Linked DNA regions of Danio rerio. Each later gene encodes a partner of the first gene's protein in a complex. Links are inferred from orthologs where the notes say so. Each region holds a gene or a part of one and is shown on either strand. Other genes may lie near its edges. The genes, in order: taf1a, taf1b, polr2f, tbp, polr1h and taf1c.

The links.
Region 2: taf1a (region 1) and taf1b share a complex: the UniProt entries of both Homo sapiens proteins name them as parts of the transcription factor SL1/TIF-IB complex. The link is inferred for Danio rerio from reciprocal best matches to the Homo sapiens genes TAF1A and TAF1B.
Region 3: taf1a (region 1) and polr2f share a complex: the UniProt entries of both Homo sapiens proteins name them as parts of the pol I pre-initiation complex. The link is inferred for Danio rerio from reciprocal best matches to the Homo sapiens genes TAF1A and POLR2F.
Region 4: taf1a (region 1) and tbp share a complex: the UniProt entries of both Homo sapiens proteins name them as parts of the transcription factor SL1/TIF-IB complex. The link is inferred for Danio rerio from reciprocal best matches to the Homo sapiens genes TAF1A and TBP.
Region 5: taf1a (region 1) and polr1h share a complex: the UniProt entries of both Homo sapiens proteins name them as parts of the pol I pre-initiation complex. The link is inferred for Danio rerio from reciprocal best matches to the Homo sapiens genes TAF1A and POLR1H.
Region 6: taf1a (region 1) and taf1c share a complex: the UniProt entries of both Homo sapiens proteins name them as parts of the transcription factor SL1/TIF-IB complex. The link is inferred for Danio rerio from reciprocal best matches to the Homo sapiens genes TAF1A and TAF1C.

Annotation. Positions count from the first base shown.
Region 1 is NC_133195.1:55,153,363-55,156,862, forward strand, and holds part of taf1a (TATA box-binding protein-associated factor RNA polymerase I subunit A), read left to right. Parts: intron 1-740; coding exon 741-898; intron 899-3,500. UniProt on the Homo sapiens protein: Component of the transcription factor SL1/TIF-IB complex, which is involved in the assembly of the PIC (pre-initiation complex) during RNA polymerase I-dependent transcription.
Region 2 is NC_133195.1:32,286,268-32,290,524, reverse strand, and holds the start of taf1b (TATA box-binding protein-associated factor RNA polymerase I subunit B), read left to right. Parts: upstream 1-1,457; 5' UTR 1,458-1,550; coding exon of another isoform or gene 1,551-1,568; intron 1,569-1,655; coding exon of another isoform or gene 1,656-1,754; intron 1,755-3,852; coding exon of another isoform or gene 3,853-3,940; intron 3,941-4,045; coding exon of another isoform or gene 4,046-4,143; 5' UTR 4,144-4,257. UniProt on the Homo sapiens protein: Component of RNA polymerase I core factor complex that acts as a GTF2B/TFIIB-like factor and plays a key role in multiple steps during transcription initiation such as pre-initiation complex (PIC) assembly and postpolymerase recruitment events in polymerase I (Pol I) transcription.
Region 3 is NC_133178.1:1,278,189-1,282,192, forward strand, and holds the start of polr2f (DNA-directed RNA polymerases I, II, and III subunit RPABC2), read right to left. Parts: upstream 2,801-4,004; 5' UTR 2,778-2,800; intron 2,121-2,777; 5' UTR 1,989-2,120; coding exon 1,969-1,988; intron 1,724-1,968; coding exon 1,654-1,723; intron 644-1,653; coding exon 513-643; intron 1-512. Other genes in the region: uncharacterized protein, read left to right, coding at 3,615-3,636, 3,912-3,971. UniProt on the Homo sapiens protein: DNA-dependent RNA polymerase catalyzes the transcription of DNA into RNA using the four ribonucleoside triphosphates as substrates.
Region 4 is NC_133188.1:27,589,467-27,592,966, reverse strand, and holds part of tbp (TATA-box-binding protein), read left to right. Parts: intron 1-1,988; coding exon 1,989-2,080; intron 2,081-2,183; coding exon 2,184-2,351; intron 2,352-3,364; coding exon 3,365-3,459; intron 3,460-3,500. UniProt on the Homo sapiens protein: The TFIID basal transcription factor complex plays a major role in the initiation of RNA polymerase II (Pol II)-dependent transcription.
Region 5 is NC_133194.1:29,753,805-29,757,890, reverse strand, and holds the start of polr1h (DNA-directed RNA polymerase I subunit RPA12), read left to right. Parts: upstream 1-1,286; 5' UTR 1,287-1,327; exon of another isoform or gene 1,328-1,452; intron 1,453-1,805; 5' UTR 1,806-1,807; coding exon 1,808-1,925; intron 1,926-4,086. UniProt on the Homo sapiens protein: Core component of RNA polymerase I (Pol I), a DNA-dependent RNA polymerase which synthesizes ribosomal RNA precursors using the four ribonucleoside triphosphates as substrates. Can mediate Pol I proofreading of the nascent RNA transcript.
Region 6 is NC_133196.1:7,074,665-7,078,164, reverse strand, and holds part of taf1c (TATA box-binding protein-associated factor RNA polymerase I subunit C), read left to right. Parts: intron 1-1,496; coding exon 1,497-1,674; intron 1,675-2,604; coding exon 2,605-2,742; exon of another isoform or gene 2,743-2,813; intron 2,814-3,500. UniProt on the Homo sapiens protein: Component of the transcription factor SL1/TIF-IB complex, which is involved in the assembly of the PIC (pre-initiation complex) during RNA polymerase I-dependent transcription.

The DNA.
Region 1 (3,500 bases):
AGTAAAGTTGAGCACGTTTTTTTTTTTTTTGTAACCTGTACAACCAGTACAGCGAAAAGATGGCAACATGGCGGCAAAATTAAACAATGAGGCTGTAAACAATGAAAACGTCTGTTTCTAAAGTATTAGAAGCAGACAATTACATTAGAACAAAATTTAGAAACTGAAAAAATTAAAACAAAAAACAGTTGTCAGTTTGGCAAGCCATTTTTATAAAAATTATTTACAATTGCATTAAAATACCAGCACATTTTTCATACCGCTCTTTCATTTGCATAAAATCTAGAATTTTGCTCATTGTTCATTTATTGACATATTTAAAATGTTTAAATTCTAGATTCACAGGCATAATTTTGCCATTATTTAAAATATGTGGCTAAGAAATAGCTATTAACTTTTTAGTTTTTTTTTTTGGTGGGGCCAGTGAAAATTTTGTTAAGTAAAAATCTCAACCAATGGCCTGATTGGACCCGTATAAAAAATCCTTAGCGTTGAACCCTGTAGTAGATCTGAACACTTCTCAAATGTACCATCCTCTCAGCTTCATCTGTATATTGATATGGCTTCAAAAATACTTGAGCGCAGATTAGGTTCCACAGAATGGGCTAGGAAGTTGGGTCTAAATTAAACAGCATTTGGGAAATATTCACAGGAGGGTGTATATTTTTGCATTCAGCTGTATAAATAGTAGGTGTCAGTTGTGTTTTGTTGCTCATTGGTTGTGTTGACGTTGATTTCAGGAAGTGGCAGGAGATTATACAGAAGGAGTGGAAGGTGCGGCGTTCGCTCTGGGTACCTTTACACTTCAGAGACTTCCTCAGCCTCAAAGACTGGATGGACAACCATAAACTTATGATGATCATCAAGAAGGACTGTCTGAGGATCATCAATGAAAACAGCTGAGTATATCACTGTAGAGCAGGTCCAAAACTTCCACGAGTGTATAGTTGAGCCTTTTCACATTTGTGGGTTTCTCAGCAGCAGAAGTCGTCATAGTTGGTAAACTCAGAGCACAGTGAATGAGAGAGAGCAACAACTCATTATATTTACAATCCTGTTTGCTGAATTAATAACAGAACAACTCCACCATGGTGTTATCACAACATTCAGAAAATAGACAAAAATAGTGTGAGACTGATAACAGCCTCCAGAGGAGAGATCAATGTCGATATACTGTTACAACTCATGGGCAATCTAGGTAAGTGGGGTTGCACACTTAAAGGGCCATGAAACCCCCTCGTTTCAGCAGGGTGTTTTCACACCTCTACTTTGGAAAAAGTCAGAAAAGTGGGCGTGTCCAGCTCTGTTTAGGGGGGAGTGTCGGAGGAACTAAAGTGGGAGGGTGTGGGAGTGTCTATTTGGGCACGCGCGAGTTTCAGTCAAAATAGAAAGTGATGGTGTTTAACCTACATGGACATCTGTAGTCGAATTATTTGCCAAATTATTAAACGTTGGACTTTAACTGCAGTTTGGCTCTTTCATTCAGGGAATTCATTCATGCCCCTCTCGACACACGTTATATTTGATTGGAGGAACTGCTCTAAGCGTGTATTTTTCATGCAATGTTTGATACCGCACGGCGAATGAGAGAAAAAAACCTCCGCATTTCCCGGAAACTTAGATGCACACGGCAGGTAGTGTCAGAAAGCCGCTTGTGTTATTCCGGTTACAAAATGCGGTAAAAACCCTACATGAGGTTAAAGTTTGGTTGTAGTGCTAACATGTTTACACTCTGTGCAATAGTTAACTTAGTTCGATACGAACAAACTGAATAAACAAAGAGCACTGGTCGCTCACTTACCAAATCTGTAGAGACAGGACAATCACCAGCAACTAGAGCCGCGTCTTTATGAAGAGAAGACTACAAGCGTATCCGGATTTCAGCGTTTGCAGATGAGAACAGCTCTCAGGTAAACAATAATCCTCCTTAGACACGTAAGTTATTGTTGTCGAGCGTCGCGTACACTGTTAATCCACACGTGACTCCAGCTGAGCTCTCACAGAGAGAAAATGAAAACAAAACTTAACTGCAGCAAACTATAAAAGCAACACTTCACGCTTGTTTTGCCAACACAACGTGGCGTCTCTGTCGTCTAAACACTGTGACAGTAATGAATATTAATGAAGTTGCACAATAGAGCGCGCTGATTGGTTTGAACCAAGCCTTACTCATGCATTAATGCAACACACTGTAAGACGTAATAAGACACAAGCTGCGTCCCAAATCGCATACTTATGCACTATTCTACGCCATTTTGTAGTATAAATAGTGTAAGTAGTGTGTTCACACTGAAAACTCTTAAAATAATAAGTGCACTTTAATTACCCGGATGATGCACTCATTCAGCCGCTAAAATGAAGTGTGTATTGATGGACACTTCACGCACTCAACGACCGCAGGTTTGCTTACGTAGCGGAAAGGGCGGAGCTATCGGACGCACATGTTGGATAACTTTATTTATTTTGGATAGTGAAAGCAAAATTCTCCTACGAGAGTGATTATAGCGCCTCCCGATGGTGAATGCGGCAATTCTCACGATAGGTATTATTTGATAATTCGGTCGTTTATTTCACTAATTTGGCAACCGTCAAACGTCATCAGGGAAACGGTTTGAATTTCCGTTTAGTAAAAAAAACATTAGTGTGCCATTTGGGACGACACTACATACATATACTATCCTGTTGAGTGTGTAAGTGCATAAGTACATAGTGCATGAGTGCATAGTGTATAGTGTGCCATTTGGGACGCAGCTATACTCACAGGCACAGACGTCCAGTCTGCACGCTGGAATACACGCTATTATGTCATGACCGTGACGCAGCTTCAAAAATTAGTTTCAAACCGGAAGTACGAATTTGCTTAAAATAACGCAAAAAACAACCAATTTACACTTTTTAGTGAAATATAGGTGTCCTGATAGTGTTTTTAGCAGTGTGGGACACATATACCACTGTCAACAGCTCAAACACATGTGTTTTGGTGTTTCGTGACCCTTTAACCAAAGGATCTGGTTCAAACAAACACTCAGGGTGCTTTCACACTAACACTTTTGGCCTGCACCCATTTTCTTTTGATGTCAGAGCACGGATTGTTTAGCTCAAGGGTGTCAACCTCATTTTAGCTCAGGGGCCACATGGAGGAAAATCTAATCCCAAGTGGGCTGGCCTGGTAAAATCATGGTATATATAACTTAAAAACAACAACTTCAGATTGTTTTCTTTGTTTTAATACAATCAACATAAAACATAGAGCTGGATCCTGAGGACAACACAATCTCACAGCAATTCATAGCTTTTTGATTTAGTGGCTAATTCATATGAATTCGTACAATCCAAGCGCCAACTTCCTGCTCTCCCTCGGGAAGCCAGTACTGAAGTTACTGAAACTGCAAATCAAGTCCAGGAGAACTGCAGGAAGTCCAGGTGATTTCTGACTGCAGTGGGAAATTGGCCATATTTACAGCTGATTAAAACATGTTTACATCCCCGTACAAAAGATG
Region 2 (4,257 bases), about 23 Mb from region 1:
ATTTAATTTTATGGTTTAATCACAGATAAGGTCTCTCTTCTCAGTCTTGAGCAGCTCAAGGAAAGTGCCTGTTTCCTTTTAGCCAACTTCAGGTGCCGTGAACAGCAGGAAGCAGCAGAGTCGTGATGGGAAAGGCAGAGAGTGCATGTAATATTTATATACCAGATAAGCAAGTGAGCTAGACTCTGTATAATTTTCCCTTTTCGCCCACAGCCTCCCACAATCTCTATCCACGCTATGCGGCGTCTGTGGAGGACAAGTGGGGATGTAAAACGTGCCACACTGTAGGGAGAGCAATCCGCTGTTTCAGTGTGAAGAACAAAACCCACACCTGCAGTTACTGACTGTTCCTGATTTCCATTGCCAACAATGCTGTGTTTTGCATAGAGAACACGAGGAAACGCATGGGAGGCAGTAAACCATGAAATTGGCCCAGTGGTGAAAGAAGCAGCTTTTCTTCAAAGAGGTGGGGAGGAGGAAAGGAAGCATTGTTGATGGGCACAATTTATTTTATTTTTGTTACATTGCACATTTAAGCCACAATTGCATTAACTGGAACTTTATATATTTATAGTTTAAATGTTAAATATGAGGCATCTTAAATTTGCTAGGGTTTTTAACAACAAACAATAGAAAGGTCATGATGAGCAAACGAGAATATGAACACTATTTTGTATTTGCCTACTATTTGTTATAATTTATTAAAGAATAACAATAGAAATTCTGACTCAAGCAGGCTGATTGTAATCCAGGTAATGAGTAGCCTACCACCATTTACTGTCAGTTTTATCTAGCTATGGATTTTTGCGCCATCTACTGTCCATTGACTGTGACACATCTTTGTTTTGCAGGAGAGACATGCATTTACAATAAAACAAGTAAAATAAATGTATAATTTCTATATAAAAATAATTATGAATCGCAATTTATGTATCCAAGATAAGTTAATAGAGAATTCATGATAGAGTCAATACTTTATTATTATTATTATTATTATTATTATTACTTATCTGTCAAGCCTAAAAATAATTTAGTTACATTCCAGACAATATAAATGTTTAACAACATAATATAGAGCAAATACATAAAATAATTATATGGGATAATATAATTCCTACAATGTGGCAATGTGCAAATTGGGGGCTATGCCTTGTTATCTAAACTTGAAGTATGAATTATTATTATTATTATTATTATTATTTTGATTCACATATATTTATACAATATAATTACATTTCATTAATAAAATAGATGTTTAAAATTATACGTGTAAATGAGTTGAGTTATACTGTAAACGAAGAAAAAAATAAACATCAAAATTGTAATTAACATGCACATATACATATTACACAATATAGTAAAATGAAATAGCCCTACCAAAGGGTTCTAGATCAGTGGGCCAGGGCCTACTGTAAAATATTACGCTGAACAAACGAGTGACTTTTATTATGAAAAACGTATAGTCGGCCATGTTGAAAGCGAGTATGCTCACGCTGAAAACAGAAAACAAAAATTGTCTCATGTTTTGAAGTTCAGCTTACGTTTACACCATGGACGAACAAATTACTGTAAGTATCTCTAGTGTGTATTTTGTCAGTCTGCAGTGTTATGTGGAAATTCGTTATACTCTGTGAGCTGCGGTGCTGTTTCTCCAGGGTGGATATAGTGAGCCATGCGGACAGTGCGCTGCTGTGGACTGGGGAGTGTCAGACGAGGGTCAGTTCTTCTGTAAGAGCTGCCACAATGTCATCGAGGTGGGTTAATAGATATTTTAATATATAGTACATTAATACATAGACAGAAATCACTTTTTTTTTACATATGTATAGTTCTTCCAATTCCTATGAGCTTGTTTAAATGCATGGACAGGTATGAAGTTGTCGTATGTATTATAATTTACTCACTTTTCTGCTGATTTTCATTATGCTGCTGACTTTAATAGTTATATTAACATTTAATTTAATGATTGGTTAATTAATTTAAAAAAAATCATTAAACAAAAAGCTAATTAAAGCAGGAGTTGGGTAAATAAATATTACTAATTATTATCATACTCCCCCGGTTGATTGATTTATTTTTATTGAAAGCAGACATAAATGAAAACTTTTCATTTTATGAAAACTAAAATAGTATTTTAGTCACGTAAAGCTTATGCAGGTTTTATGAATGGGTTACATGCACAGAAGTGTTGTTCAGCCGAATCTTCAGGCAAACGATTGATGTGACTAATTTCAATTGCATAAGGGACCTTTTACAGCATCGATAATGTAGATTTTTATTTAGTTTAACAAAAAAAAAAAAACATCAGTAAATAGCGCTTTTCTGCCCAGCCTGCTCTACTGAGCTGAAGTTAGTTTTATAATCACATTGGTTCATTGTTTAACACTAGCCCCTTTCACACATACAGACCTTTCCGGAAAATTGGCGGCAATTTTCCGGCAGGTCCTTTTTGAAAATACCGGTAAATTCGTTCTGGCTATTTTCCGGAAAGAGAAGTTGTAACATTACCGGCAATTTGCCGGAATGCTGCGCTGTGTGAATGCAGAAGGAAGATTCCCGTAATAAGCGCGTGCACGTCTAGAACGTGCTGACGTGAGACGTCTGCTTTAGCCAATCACAACAGTCAGACGCATTTACGTCCGCGGGGTTTGTGAGAATAAAAGCCTTTGAATATTTTTCCAGACACATTTAGCTGCTAGAAGTTAGTCAGATCACGTTTATATGTTCTTCTTAATGCCAACTGTGTAAATAATCATCGATGAGATGCTTATGATAAGCCGTTGTTTGTTTACCTTCAAGCTTTGCGTGTGCCTGTGAAACAGCCTGTGAGCGCCTGCACACGCAGATATTATGAACATCTCGACATGCGAAAGTGATCCTGCGAAAGTTGTTCACAATATTGATCATCCACAGAGTTTGTAATTTAGTCAAATGTTTACAAACACAAGCGCAGCCGTTTAAAGCTCATTTGTGGTGAATGATGTCAGAATTTACCGGTATTTTGGAATGGATGTGTGAATGCTCTTTTCCGGAAAATTTCCGTAACGTCCTTACCTGTGTGAACAGGGCTTTTTTGAATATACCGGTAAAGTCGTTCCGGAAATTTTCCGGATATTTACCGGTATCACTGTGTGAAAGGGGCTACTCACAATCTGTGAAGTGCTCCTATATTGTTTACCATGCTACGCTGAATATTCAGCCTGAAATAGCATGTAAATATGGCTTAGTAATAAGTGTAATTCCTGCATGCCACCGGCCAACCACTAAGCATACAGTAGTCGCTGTAGGACAAATCGTGTGAAAGAGTGAGACCAGCGATCCTTGCATGCATTAAATATTGTACATCATGACAAGTTTTGCTTGCGACAGAACTGAAAATGTGCTAGATATATAATACAGTATGTCGTTCGGAATTGTAGTTTTATAAGTACTATAAAGTTTTCTAACTGGCAAATGACACAATCTAGTGATTGTCTGCTGTCAACTTTAAGCTGCGCGTTCATGATTTCAGGAGTCCTGGCTTGGGATGGCTGGGGTTTTCTAAGATATGCTAACGGATAGCATTTTGGCAGATTACCTCCTGCACCTTTAAACTGACAAACAAAACAAAAACGTTTGGTGTAAGACTTGCTGAAGAAGCTTTATGGCTCATTTCAGGAGAACAAAACCAATTTTTAAAAAAAAACAGCATCTGAAAACGTGTAATATAATAGAAATCTGCAGGCACAAATTTATAGTGCTATAAAAGAAACACTTTATGATGACTGTTTTGTCTACAGTGTCTCATCTTAATGGCATGATGTTATAAGCTTTACACACCTAAAGCATGTTGCTTGTTTTAACATCTTCTAGAAAATAAGGGAGGTAGAGGATGTTACCAGCCTTCATCATAAGCATGGCAGGATCTCAATAGTCAGGAAACCCAAGAAGAAAAAACATGGTCAGTCCAGCTTTACTTACTGTTTTTATTCTTGTTGATCATTTCTAACAGGATATTGTGCTAAAATGAAAAATTGAACCTGACGCCTCTTATGTCTGTTTTCAGATTCTGAAAGGGAGTGGTTGGTCTGTGAGGGATTTCAGTTCATCCTCAAACACCAGGCCAAGGCTTTGGTCAGTCTAGGTGTTTGTATGAAGTTTGAGGTTAGTGCTCTTCGTTTACTGAATCAAATTAAGTAGTTTGCACAGTATTCTTATGTTGTTAGATTTTATATTTGGTACATTGATCTCTTATGTAATTATGTAATTTTCTGTATA
Region 3 (4,004 bases), on another chromosome or scaffold:
GGGTTTTGCACTTTAATGCTCCTCTTGAAATGAATGCTAATCAAACGGATAAGAGGCAGATCATTTTGATTGTTTTAGGGAAAAATTTCAAAAGTAAGTTCATGGAAAGTTGAAAACAAAATATTTTCTTAAGAATTTTTAGATATTTGGACTAGAAACGAGAGAAAGCAAAGTAAGAAAAGCATTTGTTTCTCCACAGAAATCAGTCAAACAGAGCCAATCAAACTCTCTAGTGAAACTGTATTATCACAATATTTATCACAGAAAAATAAAACCTCACAATATCAGACACCAAGATCAGCAAGTTAGGCGAAACCAAAGCAGTGCTTCAATCCACAGTTAAACAGAGGACAGAGAAAAGGACACATGAACAGAGTATGAGCGTTCAGATTAATGCTGCGAGATGATTCAGAGATTGAGGCATTGCAGTGTGCATCTCCATGTTTGGTAATGTTGTGTATTTGGCAGTGTGTGTGTGTGTGTTGAGTGGTGATTGTGGATCGGTCACTCACGCAATCTGCAGAGCTCGTGTTCCCAGCACTCGCGCTCTCTCGTATTTGGTCATGTATTGGGTGGTGATTCTCTTCTGATTGGCCTGCTGTCCTTCACCTGCCGGCAGGATCTGAACATTCTCTTGGTCCTCCTACACACACACACACACACACACACACACACACACACACACACATACAAAACATTGGACAAAAATAAACACAAAACACACACAAACACATACACGATACACACAATTAAACAAAACACACACACACACACATATATACATACACAACACAGAAACAAATGCATGCTCAAAACACACAAGCATGCACACACCCACACAAATATGCATAATGTACACAAATGCTAGGACAAAATACAAACACAAAAGCATGCACAACACACACATGAGCAAGCACAAAACACGCATACACAAACACTATACTATAGTGGAGTACTTGATTTGATCTGTTGTGGTGATTCTACTATATCATTCTACTATATTGGCATCACGGTGGCGCTGTGGGTAGCACAAGCGCCTCACAGAAAGAAAGTTGCTGGTTCGAGTCCCGGCTGGGTCAGTTGGCATCTCTGTGTGGAGTTTGCATGTTCTCCCATGTTGGCGTGGGTTTCCTCCAAACACATGCACTATAGGGGAATTGATCAACTAAACTGGCCACAGTGTATGAGTTTGTGTGGGTGTTTCCCATACACATATGCTGTGTAAAACATATGCTGGATAAGTTAGCGGTTCATTCCGCAGAATAATAAAGAGACTAAGCCGAACAGAGAATGAATGAATGTATTGTACTTTAGTAATATAAACAAATAAGCCAATACTTGTGTTTTTACTACAGTAAATTGTAGTGTATTGAAGTATAATATACTCCATAGTTGTAGAAATCTATTGTATACTACAGTTATTCTCAGTTCACTATAGTTAATATTACAGTATGTTGCAGCATTCATTAATAACCAGTTGAAAAATACTATAATATATACAGCAAAATACTACAGTGTGGCTCAAATTATTAAACTGTAACTCTGTGGTATTTCTCATGTGGAAATAAGAGAAATCTTTGACTATAATACTCCATTTCTCAATGATTACCAGGCAGAATATAAGCAAGTATTTCTCTGAAAGTGTGATCTTACATCTTCCACATTCTCCAGATCATCCAGAGGCTCTTCATCTTCAACATCATCGAAATCTCCGTCATCAAAACTAAACAAACAAACAAACAAACTCTGAGATAAACAAACACGTCATCGACAATAAATCACAAATCAAGTCTTCGCTATATCGGGTAAATAAGACTCAGCTGTCAGGTCTGTGTAAGTCACATTCATCGTTATATATGTTGTGTCGCAGTATGGAAATGATCGCATGTTGTTGTTTTCCACATTCACACACTTTAAACGTTCGAAAACAGTAAAACATTGAGCGCAACACACGCGTTTGAAACTCACTTGTCCTCGTTATCCGACATTATTAGTGTTCTGCGTCTCCTACCCCGGTTTAATAGGTAATTTTTTAAGAAAAATGTTATGTCTGGAATCTCACAGCTAGTTTACCGCAGCGCGACTCCAAGCGTGGAAGGATTTTCCGGTGTTGCCGCAGCGTCACTGTCCGTGCAGAAACACGATCCACAGCACTGACGTTCCGCAAACACGCAAATCGTAAAGCAGTAAAAAAAGACACAATGTAGGAAATGTTTTTATTTATTTATTATTTTTTTATTAACAAGAACCAGCATGTACAGTTTTCTTATACAATACAATCACTTTACATTTCTTAACAAGACAATGTAGGAAATGTGTGATGGTTTATAAAACAAAGACGGGATGCTAAAAAGACGTTTCAACGCTGTAAAACTTTTGGTTATAAATTTTCAAATAAATCCCCATATCTAATATTGTCCTGTTCTAGCCGTAACAGCAAACAGAGTAGCTGTACTTTGCTATTTATTAAATTACTTAATAAAATGTATTTTACGTATACCCCCCAACCGTCACAGTACTGTAAAAATATTAATTGTTCTTATCACAGATATTGATGTGCATATCCGCAGCTGAATCCTATCTAGACTTTACCCTGTTCTAGCATCAAATTGACATATTTTTACATTTAAATGTCTAACAAGACAAACATATGAAGATAAAAAGACAACAGAACTGAACGAGACTATAAAATATAGGCTACTATGTCTACTTATTTGGGAATGCGAACTTGATCTGGTTCACACTCCTACACCTAGTATATGACCAAAGCGACGGCGTTCTTCTTCTTCTTCTTCTTCTTATAATTTTACGGCGGTTGACATCCAGCGTTTTGGTGCATTACCGCCACCTTCAGCTCTGCACTGTGGACTAGAGGTTAGGTTTACAGACTAATCATTCCCCCCCACTTCCCTCTTTAAGCGACGGCGTTGGTGTTACCCGCCATTGAAATAGAAGAAAAAAGAGGTGAAGAGTGTCTTGTGACTTCACAAAACTCCTCCCAAAATACAGGTTTTTCCAGTTTTCAAGAAGGAAAAGACTATCTTCGACACGGTAAACATTTGTTTTAAATAATCAATTTGTAAAATATGCAAATGTATAGATGTAACTGCGATGTTTGGAAGAAATTGTTTATTTTGGATGTATTCAGTGTGTAGTTGCAATCAAGCCTTAGATTTGGTTGGTTTTACTTTCAGGTGTGTTTGATAACAAAAACAAAAATTGAATGTAGCCTAGGCCTATTCTATAACCTATATCTGAATGTGCAGTGTCAGCTTGTTTTAAAGAAATGTAAATGTAAAACTTTTACAGCTGTTGAACTTTGTTGTCCTCCTTTCATTAAACATGTTCACTTTGTTATAAATAGGCCTATTTGATTTAATCACTATACAAGAGCGCTGTTTACCGCATATGTTCAGGGCAAAAAAGTGTAAGTAGATGTTCATATAGACTACACAAACATTAACATTGGTAACAGAGTATAAAAAAGTTACAAATCAATATATAACTTGCTAAGTAAAATCTGTGTAATCTATGACAGGGTGATAAAGAGACAATCATCAGGTGCAAATAGAAAGTTGATGGACTGAAGACTGAAGAAAAAACAGAGAATCAACATGTCCGGCAGAGAAAGCAGAGGTCAGAGTTTATTCATCCAAACCGGCTATTTCCTAAAGTCAAAAACTAACCATCACAAAACCAAAAGAAAACAGCTCATAAAGATGAAGACGTGGCTTTTTAAAATAAAGATGTTAGAATTATACACTATGAAATGGCTTTATATGGTTTGAGCAATTATCTGTCATAATGTTCACTACATGTTTACCGTTTTCACTGTGATAAAATAATAATGTCCTGTAGTAACACTCCAGTGCTGATCTTTCTAACATGTTTTTTAATTTAATGTTTTATAGCTGTTGTTCCTGGTTCTGCTCACAAGAGAAGTCAGAGCATAGAGCTAGACGCACCCAAAAGTAAGTCCTAATATTTTTAACACTGATAAGTAG
Region 4 (3,500 bases), on another chromosome or scaffold:
TAGATAGATAGATAGATAGATAGATAGATAGATAGATAGATAGATTAAAGTAGTTTATAGATAGATAGATAGATAGATAGATAGATAGATAGATAGATAGATAGATAGATAGATAGATAGATAGATAGATAGATAGATAGATTAAAGTAGTTTATAGATAGATAGATAGATAGATAGATAGATAGATAGATAGATAGATAGATAGATAGATAGATAGATAGATAGATAGATAGATAGATTAAAGCAGTTTATAGATAGATAGATAGATAGATAGATAGATAGATAGATAGATAGATAGATAGATAGATAGATAGATAGATAGATAGATAGATAGATTAAAGCAGTTTATAGATAGATAGATAGATAGATAGATAGATAGATAGATAGATAGATAGATAGATAGATAGATAGATAGATAGATAGATAGATAGATAGATAGATAGATAGATAGATAGCTAGATAGATAGATTAAAGCAGTTTATAGATAGATAGATAGATAGATAGATAGATAGATAGATAGATAGATAGATAGATAGATAGATAGATATATAGATAGATAGATAGATAGATAGATAGATAGATAGATAGGTAGATAGATAGATAGATAGATTAAAGTAGTTTATAAATAGATAGATAGATAGATAGATAGATAGGTAGATAGATAGATAGATTAAAGTAGTTTATAAATAGATAGATAGATAGATAGATAGATTGATAGATAGATAGATAGATAGATAGATAGATAGATAGATAGATAGATAGATAGATTGATAGATTGATAGATAGATAGATAGATAGATAGATAGATAGATAGATAGATAGATAGATAGATAGATAGATAGATAGATAGATAGATAGAGATCTATCTATCTATTTTGAAAAAAGGATAGATAGATAGTTTTGAGGTCACAAAGTTAGATCTATTGTTAAGTCAATGACAGTCTTTTGCAATAAAAGTCTATGGGACAGTTGTTGCTAGGGTGCAGTATCTGGTAGTTAGGGTGTGGCTAGAAAGTTAAAAGCTCATCAGTTATTGGCAGTTTGGTAGTCTGAGTTAAATGAGCTCAGCCATTAGTCTGTAGGACAGTCTGATGCAGAGTTATGACCTCACAAAGTTTGATCCCATGTTAAGTCAATGAGAGTCTTTTGAATGGAAGTCTATGGGACAGTTTCTAGGGTCCAAAAGTGGTTGCTAGGGCGTGGCTAGAAAGTTTAAAGGTGATCAGTCATTGGCAGTTTGATAGTCTGAGTTAAATGAGCCCAGTTAGAGTTCTGTGCGACAGTCTGACGCAGAGTTATGAGGTCACAAAGTTTGGTCCAATGTTAAGTCTATGGGATTTTTCCGACGGTCCCGGGACGTTTTTCGGAAAATCGAAAGTCGGATCAGTCGGAAAAGATATGGCATACCGAGTCAGAATAGTTTGGAGGTCTGGTGTGAGTTTGGTGGTCATAGCTCGAAAGCTCTAGGAGGAGATAGATTTTGAATTTTAGTCTCAGAAGAAGAAGAATAATATATAAAAAAAATAATAAGTTTAAATAGGATTTCAGTAGTCTGGCTTGTTTCTCAAGCCAGCCTAATAATAATAATAATAAGTTTAATAGGATAACAGTAGTCTGGCTTGCTACACAAGCCAGCCTAATAAATTAAATAAATTAAAATAGTCTTATTTTCCCTTATACCAGGAGTTAAAACATAAACGGGGAATCCGTGAATCAGACATATGCTTGTGCCTTTTTGGCATTTTTCACCTAGCGTTCCATGACTTTGCTTCATGTCCATTACTATATGCACCATATATTCGGTAGGCTCAGTAATCTCTGTGTCATGATTAAAGACGCCAACCACAACTTAATGCATTCAACAAAATCAAACCATATACAGAGTAAAACAAAATAACAAAGAAAATCTACATCATTAACAAAGTTTTATATTATTTCAAGTTTCATTACAATAACAAACTTTGTACATCCATTGATAACTCTTTCAGCGTTTTGCTGCCGTCATCATGAGAATACGAGAACCCAGAACAACAGCGCTTATCTTCAGCTCGGGGAAGATGGTGTGCACAGGAGCCAAAAGGTATGAATGTCACCTGCACACTTGCTGTTGTGTCTTTCTACATTCTTGATGAACAAACAGCAGTATGTGAGTTTACCTTTCTTGTGTGAACTTCCTGCCACAGTGAGGAACAGTCTCGATTGGCAGCTAGGAAATATGCCAGAGTGGTGCAGAAGTTGGGTTTCCCTGCCAAATTCTTAGACTTCAAAATCCAGAACATGGTGGGGAGCTGCGATGTCAAGTTTCCCATCCGATTAGAGGGCCTGGTGCTTACCCACCAGCAGTTTAGCAGGTTTGTCTTTTGGTTTTGATTAGTTTGTTATTAATTTGTTGATTATTTAAACTACTTTGAGTTTTTCTGAATTTATTTGAATTTCTATTTCATACTACGTGATTTCAGTTTGATTTTTTTTTCTTACTTTATTTCAAGTAATTTGTAAACCTACAATGCGCATCAATTGGGGGCACAAGTTAAACTGTCAGAAAAAAACTTTTTATTTGGTTTATACATTTATTTGTTTAGTTTAGTTTTCAGTCCTACATGGCAGGTTCTATCACATTTGCAACTCCAATAGGATATATCCTACAAGGTTGACTCAAATTAAAATTAAGGCAACCTGCTTTAAGAAGTTTTGAGTCTTGTGCAGTATTTTGGGTTGAAAGTTAAGTCTACTAAAAAAAGGCTTTGCAGCAAAAAAAACTTTTTTTTTTTTTTTTTTTTTTTACAGTGTAGAATCTAGATATTGTTTTTAAACATGGAGAAACAAAGCGGAGACTCTGGTGGGAAAAGTCAGAATTAAAAACCCACATTTAAAAGCACTTTACAGAACCTTAAATACAATGCAAATTGACTACTAGTGACCCTGAATAAAATCAAACTATTATTATTATTAACATGCTTTTGTTCCTCTCACTTATTGTGATTGGACAATAGTTAGATGGGAAGAGAAGTTTGGCAGGAAAAGGGGCACTGGATAGAGAAATTTCCTCATACCAGGATTTGAACTTGGGATGCCCAAAGTGCAGTTATGCTTTGTCACTGGAGACAGAACATGTTTTAAATGTTACCAGTATTAGAAGAGAAAAATAAATGAGCTTGTTTTTAGTAGCCTGATATATGCTGCATGTCTTTATGATCATAAAAAAAGTGACATTTCTAGAAAAATAAGTGTTTGCTTCTATTATACTGAAGTATTTGCTGTGTGTGTTTGTTATTTCTTGGTGAGCACTATTTTGACTAGAAATTGGAATCTGACTGATAAATGTGATCTAAACTCTAATATACTGCTGATATTTCCTCCCCAGCTATGAACCGGAGTTATTTCCAGGGTTAATCTACAGAATGATCAAACCCAGAATCGTTCTTTTAATATTTGTTTCAGGCAAAGTCGTACTCACAGGTGAGGTCATAGTTACATTTGAAATGGCACAGATAGTACCT
Region 5 (4,086 bases), on another chromosome or scaffold:
ACGGTATGATAACCTTGGATAAAAATATCCCACTTTCACAACATTGTGATTACTGCTCTAAAATATATTATTTTTAAATATCTGAGTTTATTTCCCATCTGAAAACAATACATTTTATTTTGTAAAACAAAGTATTTTGGAGCAGTAAACATGTCTGGCTAAATAATTCAAATGAATCATTGACTTCTGATGTCTTTATTAGTTTCAAAACACAGATTTCTTTACAATTTATAGCGGCATCTTTGGATATCTTTTCTGCTGGAGATACTGTTGTCCTAAAAAAAAAAAATGTAAATAAAAAATCTCACACATACCTTCGGAACAGTAAAGCAGAACAATTTGGTCGAAATTAATTAAAACCAGTCAAACTATGGTATACCTTGAAAACTGCTATTGTCCCATGCTTAATATCAACGCACGTTTATATTCCCATTGTTTGCACATTTCTGCTGTGTAATATAGATTTAGAGTATATAGATACACAATACAGAGTAAAAAGGTCCAGAGCTTATCATTGTTGTGACATAAATTGTATCGCAATTCGATACAATATCGTTTATCGGCCCAGCTCTACATTAGTCCTATTTAATTGTTATTTTTTTCTGAGAAAAAAAATATGAAATATCATTAAATTTGTTTTACCATGATAAAAAGACACACACTACAATATCATTCAGTGAAACCACAGTCAGAACAAATTTCTCCTTTTGCCAGAAGTTTTTTTTTTTTAAACAAATAAATAAACAAACAAAATTAATTGATTACGGAACACAATATTTTGACATACACGTGATTTAGAAAAGCGTGTTTGCTTAAATTGTATTCGATTATATTTGTTTGTGTAATATATACACAAAAGCTAGAGACTTGTAGCTTTTCAACAACTATTAATCAAGACAATATATTAAAGAATAAAACCCCATTCTCCAGCACTACAATAGCAAAAAAAAACTTAATTCATAGATAATGTTTTATGCTAGCCCACACACCCGTAATTAATCAGTTATGTCGCTTTAAACTAACAAACGATTTAAGACGTAACACATTAGCACTTAGTTAGCTAATCCATTAGCCCAAAATAGGCAGCGTGTGGTCAAAACACTACGACATTACATTGCTGAATGTTTTATGACGGAATATAAAGTGTATTATCACTTCTCATGTCGATTGTGGTTTTTAATAGTATTAAATAATCGCAAATACCTCGAAACACTGTTTGAAGCAGTTGGATTTGACTGCACCTGCCAGATAGATTGTCTACAACGTCATCAACTCGCGACGAATCTACTGTTTTGACGAAGGACCCCAACATGTGGAACTGCCTTGAGTAAAAACCTCTCAGTTTGTAGAGAAGTTTGTATTTGGTTTGTATTTGTTACTATAACTAGCGTACATATCGCAAGATTTTTGCATCTGGTAATATTTAAGACCGCCGTGTTGGCGCTTTTATAAGTAAGTTTCTAGTTTTGATTAACGTTATATAAAAAATGTATGTACGTATGTGTGCGTGTGTAGTTTTTATAGATTATTAATTTATTACAGGAAACTTTACAATACAATATATAATACTGCAATACTATAGTAGTCTCCAATTTATTTTTTAATAAAAAAAACGATTTAAATCACTAGTTTTGGTCAAAAACCAATAAACTATGGGTAGTGTAGCAAAACATGGTGAGTTTGTAGTTCTTACGTGATTTACTAAAATTACCATGTTTTTATATTATTTGTGTTATTGTACTATGGTTAATTTTTGTTATTGGTGACTAAAGTCTAGTTACTAACATTTTTTTCTCTCCTTTAAGAAATGTCGTGTTTTAGAGGAGATGTCGACTTTTGTCCTGAATGTGGAAACATTCTTCCACTACCCAGCAGGCTGAATACTATCACCTGCCCACGATGCTCCTTCAAAATCTCTGTTCAAGGTGAGAGTAAGATTAATATGTCATAAGTAATTTATATAATATTTTATGAGATTATATATTGGCCCTGTTTCAGAAAGGAAGTTAAGTAATAGCTCAGAGTATGTTTAACCCTGAAATGAGAGAAATTTTGGGTTTTCCGTTTTAAAATGGCAGGTTTGTCAAACTCGAGAAAGCAGGGTAAGTCAAGCCTGTTTCTGAAAGAGAGGTAACTTTGACTTGGTTGTTGCTAGATCGAATATGTTTACGGCTGGAAGGTGAAGAGAATTATTTATATTATTTATTAAATCCCCCGTTTATTGTATTTTATTAACATCTACCCTCACCCCAACCCTAAACTCAACCAACAAAGTAATGTAGAAACAGTAGTTGTACTGGGTATAATTTACGTTACCTATTAAATTATACAATAAATTGTATTTTTTAACGCCTTCCCCCAGCCCAACCCTAAACCCCACCGTCACAGTATTGTACAAATATTCATTATTGTTATACAGTGTCATAACAAAATGCTGCTATATTGATGTGCAGATCGCACTTTCGGCCAGCCGTGTATCCGATCTAGACTTTACCCTTTAACTCAGAGTCAGTTACCGTGGTAACTTACTCTATGAACCTAACCTGGTCAGGAGCCGGTTTTATTCTCTAAACTCTGAGTTTCTGTTGGTCTCCTCCCCTTTTTTAAAGACAGAGTGTATTTCTCACCTTGGCCTTGGTCATTCATTGCCTACATTTCAGTCACACAAAGAACATGGTTATGAGAATGGCTTGTACTTTTTGGGAACATTACAATTAGATTCAATACCATAGTTTTAAGTTTTAGCTTTGATATTACTGCAAAAAATAAATAATTATTAGAATAATATAATTATTATTTTAAATTATTATAATAATAATTATTATTTTAAAATAAAATAATTATTTAGAACGATTATTACTAGTTTTAAAAACTATTTTTAGTACTGCTAAAGTCTAAATGTTACTTACATTCTAAATGTTATATCAACCTCTACCACTTGATCAATAATAAAGGCAGACACACAAGTGCACTTTCAAATCTTAAACTGATCAACGTGTGTAAAAGTGGGAACCTTAAATTAAACATTTCCACTGAACATTAAGCTAAGGTTATATGCATTTTTTGTCAGATTTGTTGTAGAAACTATGCAGCAGCCTATTTTATGTAATTTAATGCAATTACATTTGAAATGACTTCAAAATTGGTGACGCGGTGGCGCAGTGGGTAGCACGTTCGCCTCACAGCAAGAAGGTCACTGGTTTGAGCCTAGGCGGGGTCAGTTGGCATTACTGTGTGGAGTTTTCATGTTCTTCCTGTGTTGTGTGGGTTTCCTCCAGGTTCTTCGGTTTCCCCCGCAGTCCAAAGACATCACATGCGCTATAGGTGAATTGCGTATGCTAAATTGTCTGTAGTGTATGTGTGTGAACGAGTGTGTGTGGATGTTTTCCAGTGATGGTTCAGGCTGGAAGGGCATCTGCTGCGTAAAAAACTGCTGGATAAGTTGGTGGTTCATTCATCTGTGGTGACCGCAGTTTAAAAAAAACCAAGCTGAATAGAAATTGGGCGAGGCAGTGCTGTCGCCTCACAGCAAGAAGGTCGCTGGTTCGAACCTCGGCTCAGTTGGTGTTTCTGTGTGGAGTTTGCATGTTCTCCCTGCCTTCGCGTGGGTTTCCTCCGGGTGCTCCGGTTTCCCCCACAGTCCAAAGACATGTTGTACAGGTGAATTGGGTAGGCTAAATTGTCTGTAGTTTATGAGTGTGTGTGTGAATGTGTGTGTGGATGTTTCCCAGAGATCGGTTGTGGCTGGAAGGGCATCCGCTGCGTAAAAACTTGCTGGATAAGTTGATGGTTCATTCCGCTGTGGCGACCCCGGATTAATAAAGGGACTAAGCTGACAAGAAAATAAATTAATGAATGAAAAGAAATTGAACGACTTCAATGACTTCAAAATTATGGCCAATTCCCCACTTTTTCAAGGTAAAAGTGTATAAACATCACGCATTACTTGTTCTTTTATTACACTTAAATATTTAAATACTTTAAATGTTTTAGATTTAAGCATACACATTAACTTGTGCAGCTATCTTTTTTTCACGCTAACTGTCTCTGTTTCACTAATGCAGTTGTGTTGCTTTTTTTTAATAT
Region 6 (3,500 bases), on another chromosome or scaffold:
AAACACACATTATACTGTTTACATATACAGTTAGTCATTTAGTTCCTGGAGGATCATCAACACTGCATGTTTTGGATGTCTCCTTTGTCACACCCATTACAGGTATTTCAGTCTCTGCTAATGAGCCGATGATCTGAATTAGGTGTGTTTGATTAAGGAGACATGGAAAATGTGCAGAGCTGGTGGTCCTCCTGGAACGTGGTTGAGAAACACTGGTTTAGCTGACGCTTTCGTTCAAAGTGACCTACAAAGTTAGAAAGTAACTAGTTACTGTAATTAAATGACTTTTCCAGTGAACAATTAAGGAATTATTTTTCATTTTTTAGGCAATTAAATTACTTTATGTACTTGTCTGAAGTACTGTAAATAAATAATCAGTTCTGTATAAATCAATTTAGAGAAACAGAGTAAATTTAGATGTATTTTTTTATTCGCATATTTTGCATAATAACCCATTTTTTCCGACAATTGTATGTGCTTTCGAAACGAGTGAGGAATTTAAGCCAATATATGATATGTATGAAATATGGATTGGTCTTATGAAACTCTTTTTTTTTTTATTATTTTATACATAATGTTTACCTTTTTTTAAACTAAGAGGTCAACATAAATAACTCTTTCAATTCTGTACATTTGTCTGTGCATTGATGTCTACAAGTTAATGTTTATGAGTTAAGCAGTATTGAGTGATTAAATTACTTATTGATTAATTAGGAGACTTTTCAGACAAAGTAATTGGAAAAGTAATTTAAACACAATTATAATGATGCAATAAGTATTTAATTTAGTTAGCCAACATTAGTTACTTACAAATGAGCTAGCAATCTGTAAGAGGTAATACACACAATAAGAACTACTTGCACAAATGTACTGATGTTGCTTAGAGCGGTGGTCCCTTTTTAGTCAAGCCTTTTATCACTGCGGACCAGTCGACGCTTGATAATTTTACCGTGGCCCATGACGAGCTGACAAAACATTGCTTATTTATGGAGAAAATTAAGCAGCACTGCAGTGTTTGGTTGTTCTGTGTTTGTCTGAAGTAATTAGTCTACCGAAATGTGTATATTTCATAACGAACTTGCACACAGAAAAAACTCGATATGTGAATGGACTCTAAAGCCGCCGTCATTTGCGATCTCCACCAGTTGATCATCTTTCACAGGCATGCTGGATTCCCCTTTGCAAAGAAACTTTCCTAAGACGTCTGCTTTTTCTAGGATGTGGGTTAAATTTTGGTACTCAAGTGCCCTAGATATAACCGAGAGAATACTGTCAAAATAAAAGATTGTTCAGACTCAAATAATAAATAAAACGGAAATAATGAATGAGTTCTTGTGCAGCCCAGTACCAATTGATCCATTGCAGCCTGGGGGGTTGGGGATCACTGGCTTAGAAAAATAAGAGCTATTTTATCGAGGCTTTAATTGAATTTCAGCACATCTATCTAATCCCTTCTCTGTACAAAAGAAAATAACTTCCTATTTCCTCGCTTGCAGTTTTCCTCCTACATCATGGACGAGCGGGTTCCCAGTATTCCTATGCTGAAATGGGACCACATGATGGACTTTCCACCAATATACACCTGCGCTTTACCTCCAAAATCCCAGAGTCAAAGCTGCAAAGTGCTGCTGGGAGCTCAGAGGTCGCAGGAAATCATGTTACTGCAGTACACGGGTGAGAGCTTTGGGCTTGTTAACAACAGTTGCATATTGTATTGCATAACATGTTCCTTCATGGCAAATCATTACACTCAAAGCAAATTGCTGTGCATTATTATCATCATTATGCATTATTATGTGCCAAGTTGGCGGTTCATTCCACTGTGATGACCCCTGATAAATAAAGGGACTAAGCTGAAGGAAAGTAAATGAATGAATGTGATCAATTCTGAGACACAAAATTAACAGTTGCACGTCAGGGGCTTCACAAGGGGCCTTCAGTGACATGATCTTGAATGGGGTCCTTCAGCTAATTTAAATTTTCCATGGACTTGCCCAATTTAAAGATAGCATGTTAAAGTGCGCTCGTTTTTGCAATTGTTTTGGGACTTCCGATGTAGCTTCCTATGGGAGAAATGACTAGGAATATTAAATGGTAGAAAACGGTCAAACTACTTGCTCGACAAACAACTGTTTGCATGACTATACACACAAAATAGAATAAGACAAAAAACAAATATCGGTTTGCAACATCAAGCTGCAAAACGAGCTGTTTTTAACATCTAAAATGAATGGAAGTGAATGAAACCGGAAGTCTCGAGGCAAAATGATTGAAATGGCTGTGCCCGCTCGTCCACGGAGAATAAGGTGAATAGTGTCACACCAAAGGACATGGCTTGACAATTGCGAGTTACTAAAAAAGACACTTGTAAAACAAGATCAGAGGTATTTATTAATGAATGATTTCTTTTTAATTTATAAGAGCTGTAATTTATTGAACTATGCTTGAAATGGTCACACCGTAAGACAGTTTTGAAATTTTTATAACAAGGAGTTCATGTTTTCTGCATTTTAAGTGATGGTAATACTAATTAGTTTTTTTTTTGTCGTGTGTTGACAGTGAAAATGCAACAACCCATATCATCTCTTGTTTTGTGTCATCTAGGTGGCAGGCAACATGCTTGTCAGACTCAAGGACCCATTCAAAAGCTTTTGTGTCCAAAAGACAGTCTAAGCCACCTGAACCTTCAGCTGCCGCACAAGAGACGCATCGCTCAGAAGAGACTGAACAGCCCTGCTGCAGGTCAGAAACGTCCTGCAAACATTTAAAACAGCTGAAGATTAATAAGTTTTGATTTGCATTAAATATGGACTGTATGAAGTAGCAGTTCAAGTATTACCTGTGTAGCATATGTTAACATGGTGTCTTACAGGTTGGTCTGAAGTGCTCATTATACAAACCTAATTATTACAGTGAAAGTGAACATGTTCCTGATTATTTTTATTATAGGAATAATTAAGAAAATTATGGACTGGTAATTTTTCTAATAAGTTCATTGACTCAAATCAACATTTGTAGGTCAACTTATAGTAAAATAATAATAATAGAATCTTATAATAATTATTAAAATATCTATTCACATTAAAACATGGTTTTATTTTTATTTATTTATAATTTATTTTATTTATTTGTGATTTAAATAATTGTTTTTTTAATACATTTTCAACTTAAGTACAACTGTCAAATTACAATATATATTGTTATGGCTTAATGTATTTGCATTAAAAGTTTGAGCAACTCAACATATTCAACATATTATCAACTTCATCTTCATATCAAAGTCGCTAAATGAGAAAATTTGAGAGATGAACTATGAATTTTGAGCAAGAGACTGGCTTTTGCTGGTCATCCATGGTGTTTTGCTATTTGTTTGTGTTGTTTTGAGAAATGCACCGACTGTTTTGCAAATTTCAATTCAGATCTGAGAAATCACACAGGCATGACTACAAACTACAAAACGTGCATTATTTTTTTTCATGTGATAAATGCAGGGTCTTTTG